Ovis aries: one gene and its partner. The protein of the gene in region 1 purifies or fractionates together with the protein of each later gene. This does not show direct contact. Links are inferred from orthologs where the notes say so. Each region holds a gene or a part of one and is shown in the gene's direction. Other genes may lie near its edges. The genes, in order: SART3 and LSM8.

Region 1 (4,580 bases):
TGGGCTTCCGCTAGGACCCCTAAGTCCTCTGGGGGGTCCTCGCACTCCCGCCCGCCCCCCCGCCCGGTGCGGACCCCCGGGCCGCTCTTACCTTCTTGTGATAGAGCCGAGCGGGAGCTGAGAGCTCCCGGGCGGGCAGGCGCGGGGGCCGGAGCAACAGGGCCGACGCCGCCCGCCTCAGACGGCCCGCTCCAGCCGCCGCCATCTTGAGGGCTTGCGCCTGCGCAGGTGGAGCGCGCGGCCGAGGGGAGGGGCGCGTGCGCGAGTCGGCTCCCTGCTGGGAGCGCGCACCCTCTAAAGTACCGGCGACCTTGCGCCTGCGCCCTCCCGCTGCGTTCACGTGTCCCCGTTTTGTTCCCGCGGCGCGGAGCCTAAAGGTTTGAAATCGTTCGAGGGCTGGTCCACCGAGCTGGGTTCTGAATCTTGAGGATCCTTGAGCAGGAAATCAGGACCCAGCTTTGCGTTGACAAAGCCCCACCGCCTATTTCGGCGCAGAGGCTCAACCAGTCCACCCTTCTTGGCTCTATTTTGCAGCTTAGGAATTTGAGGATCAGAACGGTTTAGTAACTTGCCCTAGGTTGCCCAGAGGGGCCCAGTTGGGATTCTGACTTGAACAGTCCTGAGTTAGAATCCCATTTCTGCTCCTAACTGGCTGTGTGCTGCTAAGTGAAACATAGTGTCATTGTAAACCTCGATCTTTTTTGTACTAATTCAAGGACAGTTCTTCATCCATTGAGCAAATCTTGTGTTGAGTATCTACTTTTTGTCAGGGTGCTTTGGGAAAACAACCCAAGACGACACAATTAAGCTTGCTACTGAGGGAGCAAGGCAATAAATAGACCCACCAAGGCTTTTCTACCACTAAAGTGAGAAGCTTAACTAAAGGAAAGAATACTTTGCTCTGATTTTAAAAATTGTATATGTTTATGTCTCTATTAAAAAGCAAACTGGCACAGATTAAATCACAAGATATAGCAATGAAGAGATTCTAAGTAAATATTTATTAATGTAATTTATTGATACTGGTTTGCAGAATATGATCCTATAAAATCAAAACTCACGTGTATTTAAGTGCTAGGCGCCAGGCATTAGATAAAGAGAAGGAATCTCTGGGAAATGAGTTATTCTCATGAATGGTGCAATCGATCCTTCCCTGAGGACTTAAGACTTTTTTGCGCGTTTGAGGCTCAGTTGCTGGGGAGACTGACTCACGCGCCAGGTCAGACTAGGTGGTAAGATATTTATTCCAAGAATCATTTTTGACCTTCTCAAGATGGCGCCAAACCCTTAACTACAACCATCACGCTCACTCAGTGGCTGCCTCTATGGCTTCCACTTCCTGCCTAAGGACCCAACTGCTGTCCGACGTTGTGCCGAAACGCATGCCCTGTTGGTGAGCTTTTTTATTCGAACAAGAGCTACTGAAAGTATATAAAATAACATGAATCTCGTGTATTTCGAGATTTCCATGTCATCCGAGGCGCATAGTTTCTCTTCAGGTGGCAGACGGGCGGGATTTTGACCAGGCGCGCGCCGCGGGCAGCTCCAACTACTGCGGGTCTTTGGCGGCCAAGTGAGGACCCGGGAGTCTCTGGAAGTCCAAGATGGCGACGGCGGCCGCAGCATCGGCTTCTGAAGCGGAGGCTGAGCCCAAGGCCGGGCCCGAGGCCGAAGGAGAGGAGGATGAGGCTAAGGCGGCTCGGGCGAGGAGGAAGGTGTTATCGCGGGCCGTGGCCGCCGCGACGTACAAGACCATGGGGCCAGAGTGGGACCAGCAGGAGGAAGGCGTGAGTGAGAGCGATGGAGATGAGGAGTACGCCATGGCTTCCTCAGCCGAGAGCTCCCCTGGGGAGTACGAGTGGGGGTACGACGAAGAGGAGAAGAATCAGCTGGAGATAGAGCGGCTGGAGGAGCAGGTGGGCGCGGGCGTGGGCGGCGGCGGCGGGCTCTCTCCCTCGGGTTCCCAGGCCCCGGCCCACCTCCGTGGTCCTCGGAAGTAATATAAAGCGCCAAAGCCTCCAAATCGCAGTGTCCCAGCGCGTCTCCGGTCCTCGGAGCGCTTACTGCTCGCCAGGTGCTTCGCAAGTGTTATCCTATTGAACCCTCGCCAGAACCCGGCGAGGGAATTGCTGTATTTCCCGTTTTGTGGGAGGACCCTGAGGCTCCCGGTGGAGGGAATTCTCTTGTCACCATTACACTTAGTGCAAGTGGCGAGTCAGGCTTTGAACTTTGAATCGACTCCGCAACTCCCGCTCTTAGCCATACGGGTCAACTGTGTCCAGGCCTAGAAATAAGATTATTTTCCTCCAAGAAGAGTAGTTTGCTTGTAGGAATGACGAAGATAAGGAGCTCTGGCGTGGTAGGGAAAATAGTGACCGTGACGGTGATAATAGAAACGGAATAGCGTCTGGAGGCTAAGGCCCCAGTTCTAGCTCTTCCACACCCGTGTGTGCTGGGGCCAATATTATAACGTCTCTCATCCTCCACTCTGTAAACTGGGACAAACGGTTCCCGCCCAGAGAATTGTCCTAACGGTAATCAGGGCTCGGGGCCTGGCAATAGTAGCTATGTGATTTCTAATCTGTAACTTTAGAAGGTACAGGTGTTGGTGTCTCCTATGTAATCTAGGATCCCAGCAGGAAGTAGGTGGCACATTCAAGTTAGGAGAGTTTGGAATAAAGGTCCATAAAGAGACTGGGCCTCCCAGGTGGCTCAGTGGTGAAGAATCCGCCTGACAGTGCAGGAGAGATGGATCCAATCCTTGGGTCAGGAGGATCCTCTGGAGAAGGAAATGGCAACCCACTCCAGGATTCTTGGCTGAGCAATCCCATGGACAGAGGAGCCCGCCAGACTACTGTCCGTGGGGTCACAAAGAGTCGGACAAGACTGGGCACAGCACAGCAATGGAGAGACTGTTGAGTCTGGGGCAGGGAAGTCAGGAGCAAAGGTTTGGTTTCCCAGGGCTAGTAGTAGCAGGACCTTTAGGTGTCCACTTTAGTCCTGTAGAGGTGATGGAGTGACTGGTTTTCTAGATAGTTTGTGGAGAGGATCCCTGAGAGGAGTTGAGATGTTTGTTCCAGGGAGGTAGCCCCCGTTTCCCATCAGGAAGGAGGGTGGGCAAGAAGTACCCTGACCTACTTCAGTGCCTCGCTTCCACATGGCCTGTTGGGCAAATCCTGCTGGAACCCCGAGACCCAGAGACCCCATGGATGTGGTCCACATGGTGGGTCTCAGGACAGGGAGGGGAGAGAGTGGAGTAGTCTTGGAGGGGAAGAGATGGAGCTCCCATCTCATTTTACGGACGAGGACACAGAGTCTCAAAAGGACTGATGAAGTGTTTTGGTCAGAGTCAGGCCTAAGGGCATTTGAACTTTTCCAGGTTGTCTGTAGACCGAATGCCACAGTGGGTGTGAAATCAGTTAGTGATGTGGGGTTGGTAGCCTGGGTTTCTCAGTTAACTTGGCTGGGTGTGAGATTCCTTATAATGTCCTCTCTGGTGGTGACGTTCCTGCTAAGTTGTGAAATAGTTGTATCTTCTTTCGGTATATCTGTCTCATTTGTCATCCCGTCTGAACCAGCCAGGGGTAGGCCGGTGGTTACCCTTCCTGCCTTCTATAAACAAGCCTGCCGCAGTCCATTCATTCTCTTACTCATTTGGCAGTTGCAGTGTAATGTCAGGTGGCAGGCCGCCTGTGACCCTGTCCTGGTGGCAGTCTGTCTCTCTGGCCTTTGGCCTTTCAGTGAGCCCTTATCTTGCTTAGTTGGGGAAATAGAATTACCTGTTGAGGGGAAGGGGAGGCTCGGAAGCAGAGCGATTAAACCCTCAGTGAGGGTATTTTGCTTACTAAAGTGGAGGACGGGTCTGGGCAGAGGTGTCCTGGCCACTGGTGGTGTGTACTTGCCAACCCTACCTCAGGCCACCGCACAGGATGGGATCCGGCAGGTGATGGTGAACTGAAGAGCCTTTGGCTTTATCTTCTTCCTGGGGTCCAGAAATGGACTTTTCCAGTTTTCCCAAAACTCCCTCCCATGTCCTCTTAATCCCGGCCTCTAGTTCTTGCTGTAACGACTCTCCTGGTGGAGTGTGATGGTCAGTAACTTCCAGAGAGGCCCGCGAAGTGCTCGGCCTTGTCGTGTTTGAATTCCACTTCTGACCCCAAGTGTTTTTATGAAAGCTCACAGTCAGCTGTGAAATCTGTCCAGATAACAGAAGCGGAGATGTCCCGCTGTGTGTGTGGTCGTGGCTGAAACTAGGAGCGGCACCTCGTGGTCCCTTCCCGTGATTGGGCCGAGTGTGGTCCCACCAGGCGCCTCTGTCACCTCTCCGTGCAGGTCGTGCTGTCAGGGCGAGAGGAAACCTGTTGCAGAGCACTTGCACGATGGCTAGGCCGCCTCTTTCCCTGAAGCGTCCTTTGTCCGTGGCGATGTTCTGAGACCGGACTAGATCGGCACGTGTGCGCGTTTGTCAGCTCTGGTTGAACTCTCTGGACGGCCTCTGCGATGCATGTCCTTGTGTATTAAAGAGTGCCTCTCTATACACAGTGTCTTCATCATTTGGGCCTGAAAATCAGAAATGTAGA
Region 2 (3,021 bases), on another chromosome or scaffold:
ATGACCCCATGGACGGTAGCCCACCAGGCTCCTCTGTCCATGGGATTTCCCAGGCAAGAATACTGGAGTGGGTTGCCATTTCCTTCTCCAGGGGATTTTCCCAACCCAGGAATTGAACCCACATATACTGCATTGGAGGGAGAAGGCAATGGCACCCCACTCCAGTCCTCTTGCCTGGAAAATCCCATGGGCGGAGGAGCCTGGTAGGCTGTAGTCCATGGGGTTTCGAAGAGTCGTACACGACTGAGCGACTTCACTTTCACTTTTCACTTTCATGCATTAGAGAAGGAAATGGCAACCCACTCCAGTGTTCTTGCCTGGAGAATCCCAGGGACGGGGGAGCCTGGTGGGCGCCATCTCTGGGGTTGCACAGAGTCGGACACGACTGAAGCGACTAAGCAGCAGCAGCAGCAGCAGCAGCAGCATACTGCATTGGCAGGCAGATTCTTCGATGCTGAGCCACCAGGAGAGCCCACTTGATAGAATGTGTGTGTCTACTCAGTTGTGTCCAATTCTTTGCAACCCCATGGATTGTAGTCTACCTCACTCCTCTGTCCACTGAAACTTGATAAAATAGTTACTTGTAAGATGAAGCCAAGAAGCTGTGTATGAGTGTGGTAACAACTATTTGCTAACTAATTTAGTATAGTAAGTACTCCACATTTTGCTTCTTTTCCAAATTTTAAGTTAACATTTTCTCTTTATCTTGGTCTAATTTTACATATTTTGAGTTTTAAAACATGAAACTTTAATAAGAGATTTAACCAACCAAAGCCATCAGTATAAGTTGATGTTCTTCAGAAACTGAAATAGCATCTGAGATACTGTGTTGAAATATGCCCATGTCTTCCTTTATTAGAAGCCATGATTCTTCTGTAAAACTCTGAATATTTCCTTCAAGTTCTAGAACTTTCCAGTTGTTGTGATCATATTTGTGTCTACTGTTACTGAGTTATTAGGAGGATTAAATATGTAAATCCATATGCAGCCCATAGAACACTTTGGCAAATACTAAGTACTCATCTAGCCTTAGCTATTACTACTACCACTTGAAGTTTGTGTATATTTATGGGATTGATTTGAATCTCTAAAAAGTGGTAAATTATATTTGTTTGTTCATAGTAGTGTAACATAGAAGTTCAGTGGTCTGGCTTTGAAGCTAGCCTTTCATGGTTTGGATTCTAGCTCTGCTAATTTCCAGCCATGAAACCATGCGAGATTATTTCTCTGTGCCTCAATTTTTCTTCTCTGAAGTGGGAATACATATAATATCTACTACAAAGGGTAGAGATTGGTTGAGATAATGTGTAGCATGTTTACTGGCATGTAAGATTCTGAAGGAGATCAGCCCTGGGATTTCTTTGGAAGGAATGATGCTGAAGCTGAAACTCCACTACTCTGGTCACCTCATGCGAAGAGTTGACTCATTGGAAAAGACTGATGCTGGGAGGGATTGGGGGCAGGAGAAGGGGGCGACAGAGGATAAGATGGCTGGATGGCATCACTGACTCGATGGACGTGAGTCTGAGTGAACTCTGGGAGTTAGTGATGGACAGGGAGGCCTGGTGTGCTGCGATTCATGGGGTCACAAAGAGTCGGACACGACTGAGCAACTGAACTAAACATGTATGATACTGTTATATTACTATAGCTGCTGTGTATGGGAGTATTTCCCTTAAGTTTTCCTTTTTTAAGTTTGTATCTTTAGAATATTCACTTCTGGATAGCCTGAAGTTTTATGCTACTTCCTTGGAAGTAACTAATACATGGGGTCCTTTGTAATTCTCAATAGCTCTGCACACTAGCAGAGGCTTGGTGCCCCCCTCCCCCTTAAAAAACCAAGAGGTAAGTTTTGTGCCAAGAGTACTCTTGGTCATGAAGAGATATTTTATAGTAAACTTGTATGTATATTTAAAATAGGTCCTCTTATTGGAATACCTGGCAGCTAAAATGGTGTGGTTGAATTTACATATTCAGATACTTTGTCTTTTTTCTCTTGAATATTTTCTTTACAGGGAACACTGAAAGGTTTTGACCAGACCATTAATTTGATACTGGATGAAAGCCATGAACGAGTGTTCAGCTCTTCACAGGGAGTAGAACAAGTGGTACTAGGGTTATACATCGTAAGAGGTGACAATGTGTAAGTAAAATGTCTGTTTTTAGGCAAGTAGCTCAGACTGTAAAGGCATTCGCCTGCAATGCAGGAGACCTGGGTTCAATCCCTGGGTCAGCAAGATCCGCTGGAGAAGGAAATGGGAACCCACTCCAGTATTCTTGCCTGGAGAATTCCAAGGATAGAGGAACCTGGTGGGCTATAGCCTATAGGGTCACAAAGAACTGGACACGGCTGAGTGACTGACACACAGCAGTATACAATAGGTGTACTGCTTTGCTGTGTGGAGAAGAGGTTTCTATCTACTGAGATTTGTCCATATTTCTAATAGTTAAATAGCCTGAATAGGGTCCAGAAAGAACCCTGCCTTAACATTGGATACTTCACTGGAGGAGGTTCTTAAAATGTTCTTCCAAAATATCCCTAATTTCAGAGGAACATAAATACACCTCTGGGCTAGAGTTTGAAAATGTCTTTGAAATCTCTTGTGTGAACAGTTTAAAATAATGCTTTATAATATAGCTGAATTTATCCATTTTTTCTTTTAATTTTTAGTATAATTGGCACACTTAAGCTGTCCCATGTTTATGTCCTGGCCTCAGTTAACTTGTGACACTGATATGACAATTTGAGAAGATACATTTTAGTGGTAACAGTATAAGAAAAGTGCAACATTGTAGAGCAGTACTGTCCAGTACAGTTTTAGGGGATGATGGAATGTTACATATCTGTTGTATATCTGCATTGTCCACTGTAGTAGGTACTAACCAAGTGAGTGGCCACTGGGTACTTGAAAAGTAGCTGGTGTGACTGAAGAAATGAATTTTAGATTTTACTTAATTGTGCTTAATTTTAATAGTCACATGTGGCTAGAAGCTGCTGTATTAGTGCAGTTATAGAGACTG

The links.
Region 2: the proteins of SART3 (region 1) and LSM8 purify together in Homo sapiens (affinity purification with mass spectrometry; 4 studies listed by BioGRID and IntAct, counting the BioPlex papers as one, with this or other methods). This does not show direct contact. The link is inferred for Ovis aries from reciprocal best matches to the Homo sapiens genes SART3 and LSM8.

What each region holds. Positions count from the first base shown.
Region 1 is NC_056070.1:64,531,079-64,535,658, forward strand, and holds the start of SART3 (squamous cell carcinoma antigen recognized by T-cells 3), read left to right. Parts: upstream 1-1,583; 5' UTR 1,584-1,604; coding exon 1,605-1,916; intron 1,917-4,580. Other genes in the region: iron-sulfur cluster assembly enzyme ISCU, read right to left, coding at 92-205. UniProt on the Homo sapiens protein: U6 snRNP-binding protein that functions as a recycling factor of the splicing machinery. Promotes the initial reassembly of U4 and U6 snRNPs following their ejection from the spliceosome during its maturation.
Region 2 is NC_056057.1:84,400,801-84,403,821, forward strand, and holds part of LSM8 (LSM8 homolog, U6 small nuclear RNA associated), read left to right. Parts: intron 1-2,015; coding exon 2,016-2,143; intron 2,144-3,021. UniProt on the Homo sapiens protein: Plays a role in pre-mRNA splicing as component of the U4/U6-U5 tri-snRNP complex that is involved in spliceosome assembly, and as component of the precatalytic spliceosome (spliceosome B complex).